2 linked regions of the Drosophila melanogaster genome follow. The protein of the gene in region 1 interacts with the protein of each later gene in a pairwise test. Each region holds a gene or a part of one and is shown on either strand. Other genes may lie near its edges.

The links.
Region 2: the proteins of loco (region 1) and Galphai interact in a two-hybrid assay, tested with the Drosophila melanogaster proteins (2 studies listed by BioGRID).

Annotation. Positions count from the first base shown.
Region 1 is NT_033777.3:22,636,386-22,641,239, reverse strand, and holds the start of loco (locomotion defects), read left to right. Parts: upstream 1-1,852; 5' UTR 1,853-2,223; intron 2,224-2,292; 5' UTR 2,293-2,300; coding exon 2,301-4,439; intron 4,440-4,783; exon of another isoform or gene 4,784-4,854. UniProt on the Drosophila melanogaster protein: Acts as a regulator of G protein signaling (RGS).
Region 2 is NT_037436.4:6,973,877-6,981,891, reverse strand, and holds the start of Galphai (G protein alpha subunit i), read left to right. Parts: upstream 1-1,847; 5' UTR 1,848-2,253; coding exon 2,254-2,374; intron 2,375-2,669; exon of another isoform or gene 2,670-4,245; intron 4,246-4,412; exon of another isoform or gene 4,413-4,723; intron 4,724-4,885; exon of another isoform or gene 4,886-5,570; intron 5,571-7,418; coding exon 7,419-7,890; intron 7,891-7,959; coding exon 7,960-8,015. UniProt on the Drosophila melanogaster protein: Guanine nucleotide-binding proteins (G proteins) are involved as modulators or transducers in various transmembrane signaling systems.

The sequences.
Region 1 (4,854 bases):
CAGGACATTCATCAATCAAAAATCAGTTCGATCGATATTATTAACCCTTAAATACATTAAACTTTCGGTAATGACTGAGGTGCTTCCGTCGATTCCCATCTTCGAGGGGACATAATTTATTGATTTATGTATTCAGTCCATTTGGGAAATTAGGTTTCAATCATTTCCAATTGATTTCTTCGTCGCAATTGAGAAACTTTTCCTGCCAACTTTCAGCAGCAAAATAGTTGGACAAAACAGGCGAAAAGTCGGTTGGTATGGGAATGCAAAATGCTCGGCATCTCCTAGTGGCTAACAAAATCCACTGCCAAACTAATTTGTGGCCAAAACTATGTGAGAGGCGAGCAGGAATGAAGCATGTGCCAAAATAATACAATAGAACCAACTGAAACTTACTTGGGCTTAGTTGAAAAGAAAACTTTCGCTAGCCAAGAAATTAAAGTGAAGTAGGAACTAGACTTCTGGACAATTTACGAGCTCCCATGGGATCGCCAACCGTTTTGGTAACCATGTATATAGCACATATATAGTATGTGCGCGTCGAGTCAGTTTGGCAATATAAATGACGATAAATTAATTATCGGCCGATCAAGTCATTGTCGCCATTAATTATGGGCCCACGATGCACGGCCCAACGGCCTTTTAATAGTTTTTCACACGCCCACGGGACTCAGGACCTTCGGCAATTAGGATGTGAGGTAGATGGATGTGAGGTAGATGGAGATGAGGAGATGAAATGAAATATGGCGTGAATGGGCCGAGGTTTTATGACAATGTTTGCTGCCTGAATAGCGCGGCAGCATCGTCTGGGCCATGAATTTAATGCGCTGCAACAGTTAATGATTTTATTGGCACTCCAGTCGCAACTTGGCCACATCTTTGGGCAGAGACCGGGAATCGGGGACAGCGGATTGGTGTTAGAATCCTCGTAAACAGTCGGGCTGGAATTTATGACTTGGTCTCATGAATATAATCAATGTCAAGAGCGACGCCAAGTGTCGTCTGGGGATCGCACTTGCCGCGCTCTCGAATCCATTCCCCGCAAGAAATCTGAGTGCCCTGACCAGACGCAGACGAATCCGGATGAGCCGTAAACGAAGACGGGCAAATCGCTCGCCTGGCTTAAATGGCATTTCAATTTGGCACTTCCGTTTCCGCAACATCCCACCCCCATTGCTTTCTATTGGCTTTCTATTCTTTGTCCGTAATGTCCTTGCCAACATTTCAATTGGTTCAACACTGGCTGACTGGGGTCACTTCTGCAGGTCTTGCTACGGATAATCCTTAAACATTTCAGCGTTAGAACTTCGAACACTTCGATCCGTTTACCAATAACATTTTACATTTCACTCGAGCAATTTAACTGCTGTTTTCGGGTTCAAAAACTAATTCAACAGCGGTTCTGGGTGCGCGCGTTCAACCAATGCGTTTGAAAGTCCCAATGTAACTGAAACGGCGTGGGCCAAACACAAATAACACGCTACGCAGATGTAAGCTCACCGGAAGGACTTTAAAGGACGAGCGTTCGGAGCTTTTATTTAAATCGAAAAGTAACTGACGGCAGTGGGATGTGACAAAAGTTCGTTGCTATGCAACGAAGGTCAGCCCAGTGTGGCAACGATTGCTTCATAAATTTCAATGAGTCTGGCAGCCCTGTTTTTATCTAATTCAAATTTGTAAATATCGTTTTTCTATCAATGGTCAATGCCTTCAATATTTGAACAAATCAAATTTTCTCTAGAACTGCTTGTTAAAAATTGTTGACATTCTGCAAAACTTTAACAGTAATTACTAAAAATATGGTGTGTCAAAGTGATCGATGTTTCACAAAAGGTATGTAATATCGATAGTATCGAGTAAACATTTTAGTGTGTTCCATCTCTAATCATAGTTACGCTTGCGCATTGTAGACATAATTTTAATTACCGATTTACACACAATTAATTGCTACAAATATGCCTGATAAAGTTACAACGATGTTATTAACCGCGTGAATATGAGGTAGCACCCAAAGAAGAGTTAGTTATCAATTAATTAGAGGCCTAGAAAAGTGTAACAAAATACGCCTGGCCATTGGTGCGCATGTGTGTGTGCCATTGATTACATAGTTGGCATAGGCGACGCACGGGTGCGAGCGAGAGGGGGCATCATCCAAAAAGGGGCGCAACAGAAACCGCATTCCATTTCCAGAAATCCAGGTTGCAGCTTCCATCCATGAGAAAGGTGCGTACAAATGTCCAGATGTGGGTTAAGATTGGCCAGTACTCCTCATCATTCGTTTTCTCCACACAGTAAGCGCCATGCACCACCATCATCCGCCTTTGCCCATAACCGGAGCAAGTGGCTCCACAGCCGTGGGAACGGGAGCAGCTGCAGCGGAGGATGCATCACCTGCTGCGAATAGTGGGCCCGCCCCCATAAGCACCTCAACCACGCCTTCGGGATCCAACAGCCAGCAGCATCAGCGACGTCGCAAGAAGCGAGCCAACTACAACTACAATGGCATCCGCACCGTGGAAGTGCGACGTGGTTACAATGGCTTCGGTTTCACCATTTCCGGGCAGCAACCATGTCGGCTGTCTTGCATCATCAGCAGCTCACCTGCCGAGCAAGCTGGCCTGCGTTCCGGTGACTTCCTCATATCGGTCAACGGTCTAAATGTCTCCAAGTTGCCACACGAAACAGTGGTGCAGCTCATTGGCAACTCCTTTGGCAGTATTCGCATGCAGATCGCCGAGAATTATTATTCCGACAGCTCGGATGAGGAGAACGCCCATGCCACGCTGAGGGGTCAATTGTTGGCAGCCAGTTTGAGGCACAAGCCCAGGTTTCTACACCACAAAGCCAAACTGCACAGATTGCGCAACTCGCCACAAAAGAAGCTAAACCCACCAGAGGCAGTGGAACCGCACAAATCAAAGTCATCACCCGATCACCCTACATTAAAACCCGTTCTGGAGGATCCGCCTCTGACAGCCAATCTATCCAAAGCAGCGGATGTGGCCAATGTAAGTGCCATGGTGCGAGCTGTGGGCAGTGCTGCACTGGAGTGCCGTGTTATTGTTGGCTATCTGGGAACCATCGAGATGCCCAAGCAGATCTCGCATAGTTCCAAGCTGCAGACAGTTCGATCTTGCATTCGAAAACTGAGACAGGAGAAGCGACAGCCCACCATTGTGCTGATGTGCATCACGCCGGACAGCTTGAGCCTGCAGAGTTCCAGCGGCGGAGTGCTGGCCACCTACTCCTCGGCCAGGCTGAACTTCGTGAGCTCTTCGTCGGAGAGCGAGAATCGATTCTTTGGTCTGGTCACTAGCGCCGTGCACAACACACAGATCGAGGAGGAGTACGAGCCGAGCGCTGGCAGCGCAGCAGCTGCTGGTCACATCAGTATCTCGCACAGCTGCCATGTCTTCGTCATCGACACCAAGCTGATCGAACATGCACAGCATTTGCAGCGGGCCCACGAGTTCCGCCTGCAGTGCACCCGGGATCCGATCTCGAATTTGTGTCTCGAGTTCCCTAACAACTCGGAATATGTGGTGAATCTCGTGCGCAGCATGTATACCATGCGGATTCTCCCACCGGCAAGTCGGAGTCATCAGGCAGACTATGAGGCGGGTGCAGGAGCCGCCGCAGCTGGAGGAGCAGTAGCAGCTGCCCACTCGCCGCAGCCATCGAACCACAGCGAGATCTCCACCACCACGTCCAATTCGGATTCGGGCATTGGCTTCAACAACGATTGTACGAATATTTCGGATCGCATTCTGGTTGTGGACTTCCTAGCTGCAGGAGCGGGAGCAGCGGCGGCGGCACATGCAGGACCACCAACTTATCCAGCTCCTGCTCGTCCACTGGGCATAGTGGGAATACCGGATAATCGACTGACTGTGCGGGCCATGCCCGATCATTCCGCCCTGCTAAGATCGCCGCCAGCGAGCTCTTCGCTTCGTCGACCCAATCTCCTGGCCAGCTTCAATCTGATCCAAAGTCCCGCCACGAATCTCACATCCACCCGCTCCTGTGATGATGTCCTTAATCTTTTTGTCGACGATTCACCGCGCACTTTGGCTGCCGTGGCCTCTATGGATGACATTTCGCTGCACTCGGCTGCTCCATCGCTCGATGAGGGCCACACGTTTGCCCATCCAGCGTGTGTGCCCCGCAAGATGCGCAGATCGTTGGCTCTGGAGACGCCAACAACGCCACACAAGCTGAGTGCCCAGGTATTTGGTCAACCTGGCTCGCGTCATTCGCTGGGCTTCGAAGCCATCGACAGTGTGCAGTCGTCGGTCAGTGGTGCATGTATGGATCAGACCATGGACACGTGGGCCAGCCTGCAGAATCTGCACAAATCGCACAAGGATCGGACCAGCATGTCCGCTTCCTCGTCCTCCCACTGCCTTTTAGAAGCTACGAACAGTGAACCTGATTTGGGGGTAAGTGGAGCATATCCTTTTGTTTATCCTACATGTATCATAAGTTTTTGAAATGATTGGGAATACCTATAATATAATCATAAGTGCATTTTATATCAAATCTAACCCATACAACCCTCGGCTTATGTGAACCGCTCCTGTGCGCGGGCAGAAATCTGTTTACCTGGACGCCGCTCCAAGTTACCTGCGTTCTCGGAGCTTATCGCCCCACACTGCTCCTCCTGCTCTCTGGGCCCACAGATAAGGGGCTCTTTCTCTCTCTCTAGTGGTCTGGTGGGCCATATATCGGCATTCCTTTGTCCGCTTACCCGGAGTTTTGGTAGTCACAGTTGGGCTTTGGCAATAGGTGGCCACGGTTCCGTTATCTACGATTCGGGTACGGACATCGCCGGATTTTAGTTACTATTTACGTCCA
Region 2 (8,015 bases), on another chromosome or scaffold:
CTTGCTTGTATTGTACTATTTTCTCGCAGTGCATGGTATGTGTGGCCCGGCTAACGGTATATCTATTTCAAGGCCCATCCTTGTAATTGCTCCTCCATATCCATCTCTCTCTCTCTCTAGCCGCTGTTTTCCTGGCAGCTTGTTGTTTTTGGTTCTCCTTCCTTATTCATCTTCGTTTTCCCGATGGCGATTGAAGTTTTGGATGAAATGATGCCGACATTCGTCAAATTTGTTGGCATCAGCAAACAGTTTGGGATTCCGATTCCGATTCCGAATCCGACTGCAACAACAACAACAAGAGCAGCAATGTGGCAGCGTGCGCCGCATTTGCAGGCAGTAAGTGCGACAGAGATGGAATGAGAGCGACCACCCACAGTGCAGCATCACTGTATTTCTCTCTCGCTCGCACGCGCAGCGAAAACCGCATAAATCCATATTTCTCTAGCTTGTGCTTTTTACGATAAATTACAGAGGTTGCAGGGTGTTCGGTAGCGCACAAATGATCATTCATTCACAAGACAGCAGATACCCCCGCATGCCCCCTAATTCCTCACCGTCCCTCTCCCCGCCACTCCTACGCCCCTCTGCAAATGCCGCACTTTTCGTGTAAACATGTGTAAATCATGACCCGTTGATGGCCTTTATATTCATGGTAGAGCAAGAGGAGGGGTGGTGGATGTAGGGGGGTGGGGGTGTTTCTTGAGGAGGGGAGGGGGATGGTGGCCACATGTGACGTCCTCCGGCGGCGGCAAAACTTTTGCACTGCGACCCCATCCTCATCCTCATTCTCATTCTCATCTTTATCCGCATCCTCGTCTTCCTGCCTTCGCATCGCTTTGTTTAGATAAATTAGCTGCGGAAAGACCAGCCCCCCCCCCCCCCCCCCGTCACGTTCCATACCACAAAATTCACAAAATAGTTTCTTTTAATATCATCGATTTGGAAAAAAACAGAGGAGCTTCTATAAGTGGAATTATGCTAATGAAATTTTGAAATATTAATATTATTGCATTAATAAAGTTATTATTAATTATATGATCATTGCATATGCATGATTCTCTAAAAATAAGTTTAAAAAAAATGAAATTAAATATTACTAAAAATATAAGCTCAATAAAATATAAGCTCAGTTTAAATAAAAAGATTAACAGTGCAAACGAAAGTAATTTCTTTAGTTCTCATATGTTTTGTTATTTAAGAATTGACGTATTTATGTTATTTTTTAAAAAGTTCTGTTCTTCGAATTGACTTTAAATGATTCTAAATATTGTCAGTTTGTTAGAAAGGAGCTCCACTGTACCTGCGTCGCATGCAACTGCAGACATTTGGGATTCAAATCGAGAATGGAATGGAATTGTCCCAAAATAAAGGCAAATATTATTTATGCCAGGGCCCTGAGAACTTTTTCTCCAACGGCCTGCGTGCACATTGCATTGGTGTTGATGAGGGGGGAGTGGCGGGGCATGCATTTCAGAACAACATCATATTTTCGGCTATGTTTATTTACACTTAAAGCGCTATAACAACAAACTGAAATGCAAAGGGCAAGTTGGGCATAATGCATGTATGGCTCACGACTGAACAGCGGAAACAGGATCATATGAGTGGCATTCAAGCATAAAGTTTACAAAGTTGCGATAATTAAAATGCGTGTATATCAATTAAATTAATTTGAAATTTACCGCCCAAAAGTGACGTCACAGTTGCCTACAAGAAGATGCTAGCCAAGTCACACACCCCGCGAGTACTGCCAGACTGCAGCTAGCAGAGTACCACACCCGGCAGCGTTGCCACACAAACGATCGTGTGCAATGCACTAACGCCAGTGAGCAAGCGATCTGTGAACTTCGGCAAACAGTCACACCAATCCGACGCGAAGTGAATCATATTGCGCACAGCAAAATCAGCGGATAAGCAAATTAAAGCGACAAAAGAATATTAAATCGGCTCTGCCGCTGCAGCAAGAAGCGTGAAAACAGCAATGCAATCGGGCTAATCTCCAAAAAAAACCCAAAAACGTTTCAAGCCAGTGTGTGTGCGTGTGTTTGTGTGTGTGTGCTTGCGTGCGCTGCGCATGTGTGGTGTGTTTGTGTGAAAAGGAAGAGAGGTGGAAACGCACACAAAAAACGAAAAGAAAAAAAGTGTACAGCCGACGACGCGCAGACGCATCTCGAAATTGTTGGAAAAATCGCGTGTGAGAAGAGTGCGCGAAGTGAGAAAGGAGCAACAAATCGCTAAAGACATATTTCGAAGATGGGTTGTGCCGTGAGTACAGCACGCGATAAGGAGGCCATCGAGCGGTCGAAGAACATCGATCGCGCCCTGCGGGCGGAGGGCGAGCGGGCCGCCTCGGAGGTGAAACTGCTGCTGCTGGGTGCGTTCGCCTTCCATTTCACCTTTTCACCTCTCTAGCATTATTCCGGTATTTCCCCCCTTTGCGAATTCTTTGCTGAAATTCGCGTTGTGACCTCATTTTTTTTTCCATTCGCTCGCTTTGCTTGGGCGGGGTGGGTATCCGCTGGGTGCCGTTGCTTTGCGCTTTCGGCTGTGGTGAGTTGGGGCAAGGATTTTTGCCGGCTTTTCCAGTGCGAAAGGGTCTGGAAAAGGCTGGAAGGCATGGGATGAAACAATACAGTAGAGTTACAGTATAACGAATTAGTAAGACTAAAATTAGAAAAATGTAATTTATTTGTTTTTAAGATCACTCGTTATTATAAGACCATGTTATTCTAGCTAACAGTTTAACATAAAAGTCTAAAGTCCCCAACTATCCCATATTTCGACTATAAATATGCATGGAATGGAGTAAGTAGACTCCATGCAGCTCTGTTTATCTGGGAAAACCAATGTTTATGTGGCTGCTTGGGGCTAAACAAATCCGTCTGTTCGTAGATCGTGCATTATGCAATGTCTGTGTCCAATAATTCGTTGGCGATAAGGGAATTGAACGTAAATTGAAACCAAATGTCGGTTTGACTGTGCGGATACACTCGATTCTAGATTCTCGGTACTCAGTGCTCGTTTCTCATCTGCTGGCACGCACTTTTCAGATCTTTTGGATCGATGCAACAAGTGGATCGAATCGGATCCCATTGCCGCAATGGAAACATGTTTGTTGATAGCGCAGCGGTTTCCACTTTGCAGGAAAAACCATTCAAGCGACGAGGCGCCATCGTATCGCATATACAAACATACATGCATACATACATACATACATATATGATGTATGTATGGTTTTTGGTGACCCGACCTCTGCGGCAAATGCAGTGAAACTGAATGCCTCGCTGCGTTGCAACCTTCTGCAATTAAATTTCCACTCGCCGATTTATATGCACGGCATATGGGAACGATGATATATTTCACCGTCTGCGTGTGTACTTTTCATTTCATTGCCATTCATTTGCGAAAAACAATGCCGTGGAAGTTTTCCTCCAGCGCGGCTGATTGGCCAATGAATCGGGCCAAGATGACTAAGGCAACGAGTGGTAGGCTGGAAAGTACAGCAAAGACTGGCTATGCAACCTACACCTTTATTAAGTGAACTGATATATAGGGTTTACTGTACTAAATTAATTCATAATGTCAAATGTTATCATTTCAAAAGGATTTTTCTAAAAAAAAAAATGATGCACATTAGTAAATGATTTTTTTGGAACCTAGAACATAGTGTAGTTTTCATTTACACTGTAAAACATTTATCGAGCTTATCAGCAGCCACCGCACCTTGCACTATATTTGTTTGTGAGTAACCACTGTATTTGCAGGCTTAAAGATAATAAGGAAAACTGTTTGCCTCAATGAAAAACCTCGTAAACCGGTTTGGAAAATGCCCGCTAAAAGGTGCAGGAAAATTCTACCATTTTCATCCCCATTAAAAGATATCCCCTATTATCATTCAGTATCCCAGCTGTTTTCGTCCAAACCCCCGGTTGACCAGTGTAAATGCTTCTGGTTTACATAGCCAAGAAAACAGCTTGCACCAGTTGCATTTTGAAATTTAGCCCAACATTTTACACTTGATTCAATTGTTTGCACCTTGTGGGGCGTGTGTTCTGTAATTTCTGGATCATGATGAAAACCGATCTCTGATCTCCGATCTCCGAGCTGCTGCAGCTTTCCTCCGACTTCCAGCTGAGTAATTGGCTGTTTTTGTTGCTGCTTCGTTGTTTGTTCGCTGACATTTCAAGTGGGGTGAACGATATTAGCGCAAATAAATGGGCCCGCCATCAAATGCAACTGTCGCGGCTACACGGAAAGAAAAAGAAGAATGTACTAGTTTGCTAAAAAAAATATCTTTAAAAAATATAGTTTTCAAATTATGCAGTAAAGACATTGCTTATAATTTAGTATAAATATATATATTATTCATTGAATTTATTGGTAATTTCTACCAGTGTACAGCGACTACTTACTTGAATTGGAATCGGAATTGGCAGCCCCCAACGCTGCGCTTATTGAGTAGATTTAATAAAGCTGCTCAGCTGACACTCAATTTATATTACACTCTGCTGCCTCTCCCCTTTTCCTTACCCCCCCCCCTTTCCGCAAGCCTTTCAATTGAAAAGCACAACTTTTTCAACCGTTTTTCAACCAAACATATTGTGCTTAAGGGCAAAGATAGTGAATTACTGCATTATTTTGATGATATTTGCAAGGAAAGAGCAGCAAACCGAAGAGAGAAAACGAATTCCAATGGGGGGGGCATGAGTAAGAACTCGGATATCTGTAAAAAAAAAAAAAAAAAAAAAAATATGAAAAAAATGGGAAGAAAATAATATATAAACAAAATAGTGTCATGCTGCTGGCGCACCAATATCAAAATCGGCACTCAGACTGTCAACACACAGCAACTTAATAATCTACAATTATTTAAGAACTCGCTTACCAACACATTTAAACTGAAAGTATCATTGGGCTTATCAAAATTATCGCCAAGCGAGCGACCTTATACATATGTACGTCAATATACTATATGTGGTTAAATAATTGATGTACATATGTATGTACATCACATATAGGAAATTTCATGATAATCGAGAGATCTGCGTGAAAGTCACTACTAGGTGGGGGGCTTCCGTTTTGGGGCCGCATTTCATCTGATTTAATTGTTTACTTTTTCGGTGGGTCCGCTCAATTTCACACTCCCCGCTGATTAACACATTTCCCACTTCGATAACTGAGGCCAGGCGCCATTTAACTTGATTACTCATGGCGCAAACACTTTCTTACGATTCTCCTCCTCTTGCTGTCTACAGCTATTGTTCTTTCTTCTCCCCTCTTTTTTAAATCATCGCATGGCGTAGCCTTAGTCACCCTGTTTCCAATGAATATTCTAATTTCGATAAGTAATTATCTAACGAATTGGTTGGTGCAGTAAAAACTGCATGTCTTCCTTAAATTTCCTATCTAGCTAAATAGTGATTTTTTAATCATTTATGACAAATTGAACAAATATTTGAATGTTGTTTACAATTTCAAATTCTAATAAATATAATAAAAAGTTTTTTTAGCAACTTCTAACAACTATAAAATATATCAATAGAAGCTAGAATTCCTGCATTCCCCGCCGATTCTTTTTTCGCCGATATTCACTGTTTAATGATGTTAATTATAATACCGTTTGGTTGTGGCCATCGCGATGATAATGAGCTTGTAAACGCGGCTTTGTGCGTATCGCCGTTGTTCTGAGCCCGTCTCGCTCCAGCCCTATTGTTGGCCTCTCGCTCGCACCCGCAGTCGGCCGGGCGCGTGTTATGGCACAGCTAACGGTGCATTGATAAATGAAGGCCCAGCCACACCAACACACACGCACACACTCTTTCGCATTTTGTTAGTAGTGTTATTATTAAATTGACCTTTTTCCAGCCGCTCATTTGTGGATTGCTTTGTTCGCTACTTTTTTCCACACGGTGGCAAGTTTGAACATCGCCTTATGTCCATATTCGTATTCAAATCTGTCAATTTCATCATTATGCGGCGACCGTTGTTTGCCCATTATCAGCATTCAGCAGGCGTCTCTTTCGCTCCAACACTTTTTGGTGGCAAAATTAGTTAGCATTGTTCGGAATTGGTTAAAATTGAAGTCTTAACAATAACTCAAAAAAATTTATAAAACAAATTTAATGTAATATATATTGACAGTGAATGTAACAGTGGCCATTTAGTGTAATATATATTAACAGTAGGTGTAACAGTGGCCAGCACATTACAATTAGAGTGGACCCTATTCTAACACATTATGGTACCTAAAACTATAGGCTGAATTTCTTAATCTTCATAAATGTACGTAACATATGTATTAAACTTACCAATCTTCATTGAATGAGCACCATCCGCCCCAAGGGAACTTCAACCATGGCTGATTGATATACGTACGAATAGTAAAAACAATTAAAGTTTCAGTGCAAGTATCGAAGCCCTGAAAGTTGAGAAAAGTGAAAGTAAAGTCGCAGTTTTGGCTTTGGCAATTACCTAATCATCCGGTGGCTGGGAATGGACCCAACTACCAACTGCAGCAAAAAGTCGGCTTAATGCGCCATTGTTGCAATGCCCCAACATCGTGTATATATGTTTATATATAGCTATAGATATTCGAAATTACTTGGACCGGCAGATTTGCCAATTTTTGTATTTGCCCATTTGCTCTGCGATTTCAACTTCTTTAGTTTTCAGCGAAAAGGGAAACTGGCGAGCACGTAATGCGATTATGTTTCATATTTTTTTTTTTATCATTCGACGCAGCAGATAATATACATAGTACTACATATATAATAAACTGCCCAGACGAGCCCGTGTGTTTGTTGTTTATCAACGCTGACGGGTCAGGTCTCATTTAACAATTGAAGGCACTCGGCGAATAAAATTATGCCCAGTTAATTTTCTCCGCAATTTCCAACGCCTTTGATAACTAATGGGTGGGTGGTTCAACGAACTCCAGGGCTCGGCCATGCAAGTTAATAAATTATAATAAATTACAGAGTAGTACGCTTAGAAAATGCATATATCTATTTGGATTATCTTTAGCATGATGATGTGCATATAACTTGATCTGTTATCACAATATTATTGACCCTTATTTGGTGTTCATTTGATTCGTATTGAAATCCGACATGCTATATTAAATGACCATATACACGATGTTCATTCATTTCTCAACTAGACCAGCGCAATTAAGCGTGACCTCTTGAGTCGCGCAATTGAGCAACTTTTCTCGATCGTCTCATTCATAAATTCCACTTCCGTTCCCCTTGGCAAACTTAAAAGCCCCTTCCCGAAACCGAACTCATCGATTCATTCATTCAGTTTTACGCCCTGAACTTGGTGCATACAAATATTGAGCTCACACTTCCTTGGAATGATTCTTTATAAACTTTGATAGTACACCTTAACTAATAAACTCTGTTGAATTTCTTTTGTAGGAGCCGGAGAGTCGGGCAAGTCAACGATTGTGAAACAGATGAAGATCATCCATGACACGGGCTACTCGCAGGAGGAATGCGAGGAGTATCGTCGCGTCGTCTTCAGCAACACGGTGCAGAGTCTAATGGTGATCATCCGCGCAATGGGACGCCTGAAGATCGAGTTTGCCGATCCGAGCCGAACGGACATTGCCCGCCAGTTCTTCACACACGCCTCTGCCGCCGACGAGGGCATCCTGCTGCCCGAGATCGTGCTCCTGATGAAGAAACTCTGGGCAGACGGTGGCGTACAGCAGAGCTTCGCCCGATCGCGCGAATATCAGTTGAATGACTCGGCGGGATACTATCTAAATTCGCTGGATAGGATCGCGCAACCGAACTACATACCCACGCAGCAGGATGTGCTACGCACGCGGGTGAAGACCACTGGCATCATCGAGACACACTTCTCCTGCAAGCAGCTGCACTTCAAGTGAGTTGTCATTAATTGCCCACTTCCGGTTGATTCGATTCTAATGGTTATGTTTTTTTTTCGCCACAGACTTTTCGATGTGGGTGGCCAGCGATCGGAGCGCAAAAAGTGGATTCATTGCTTCG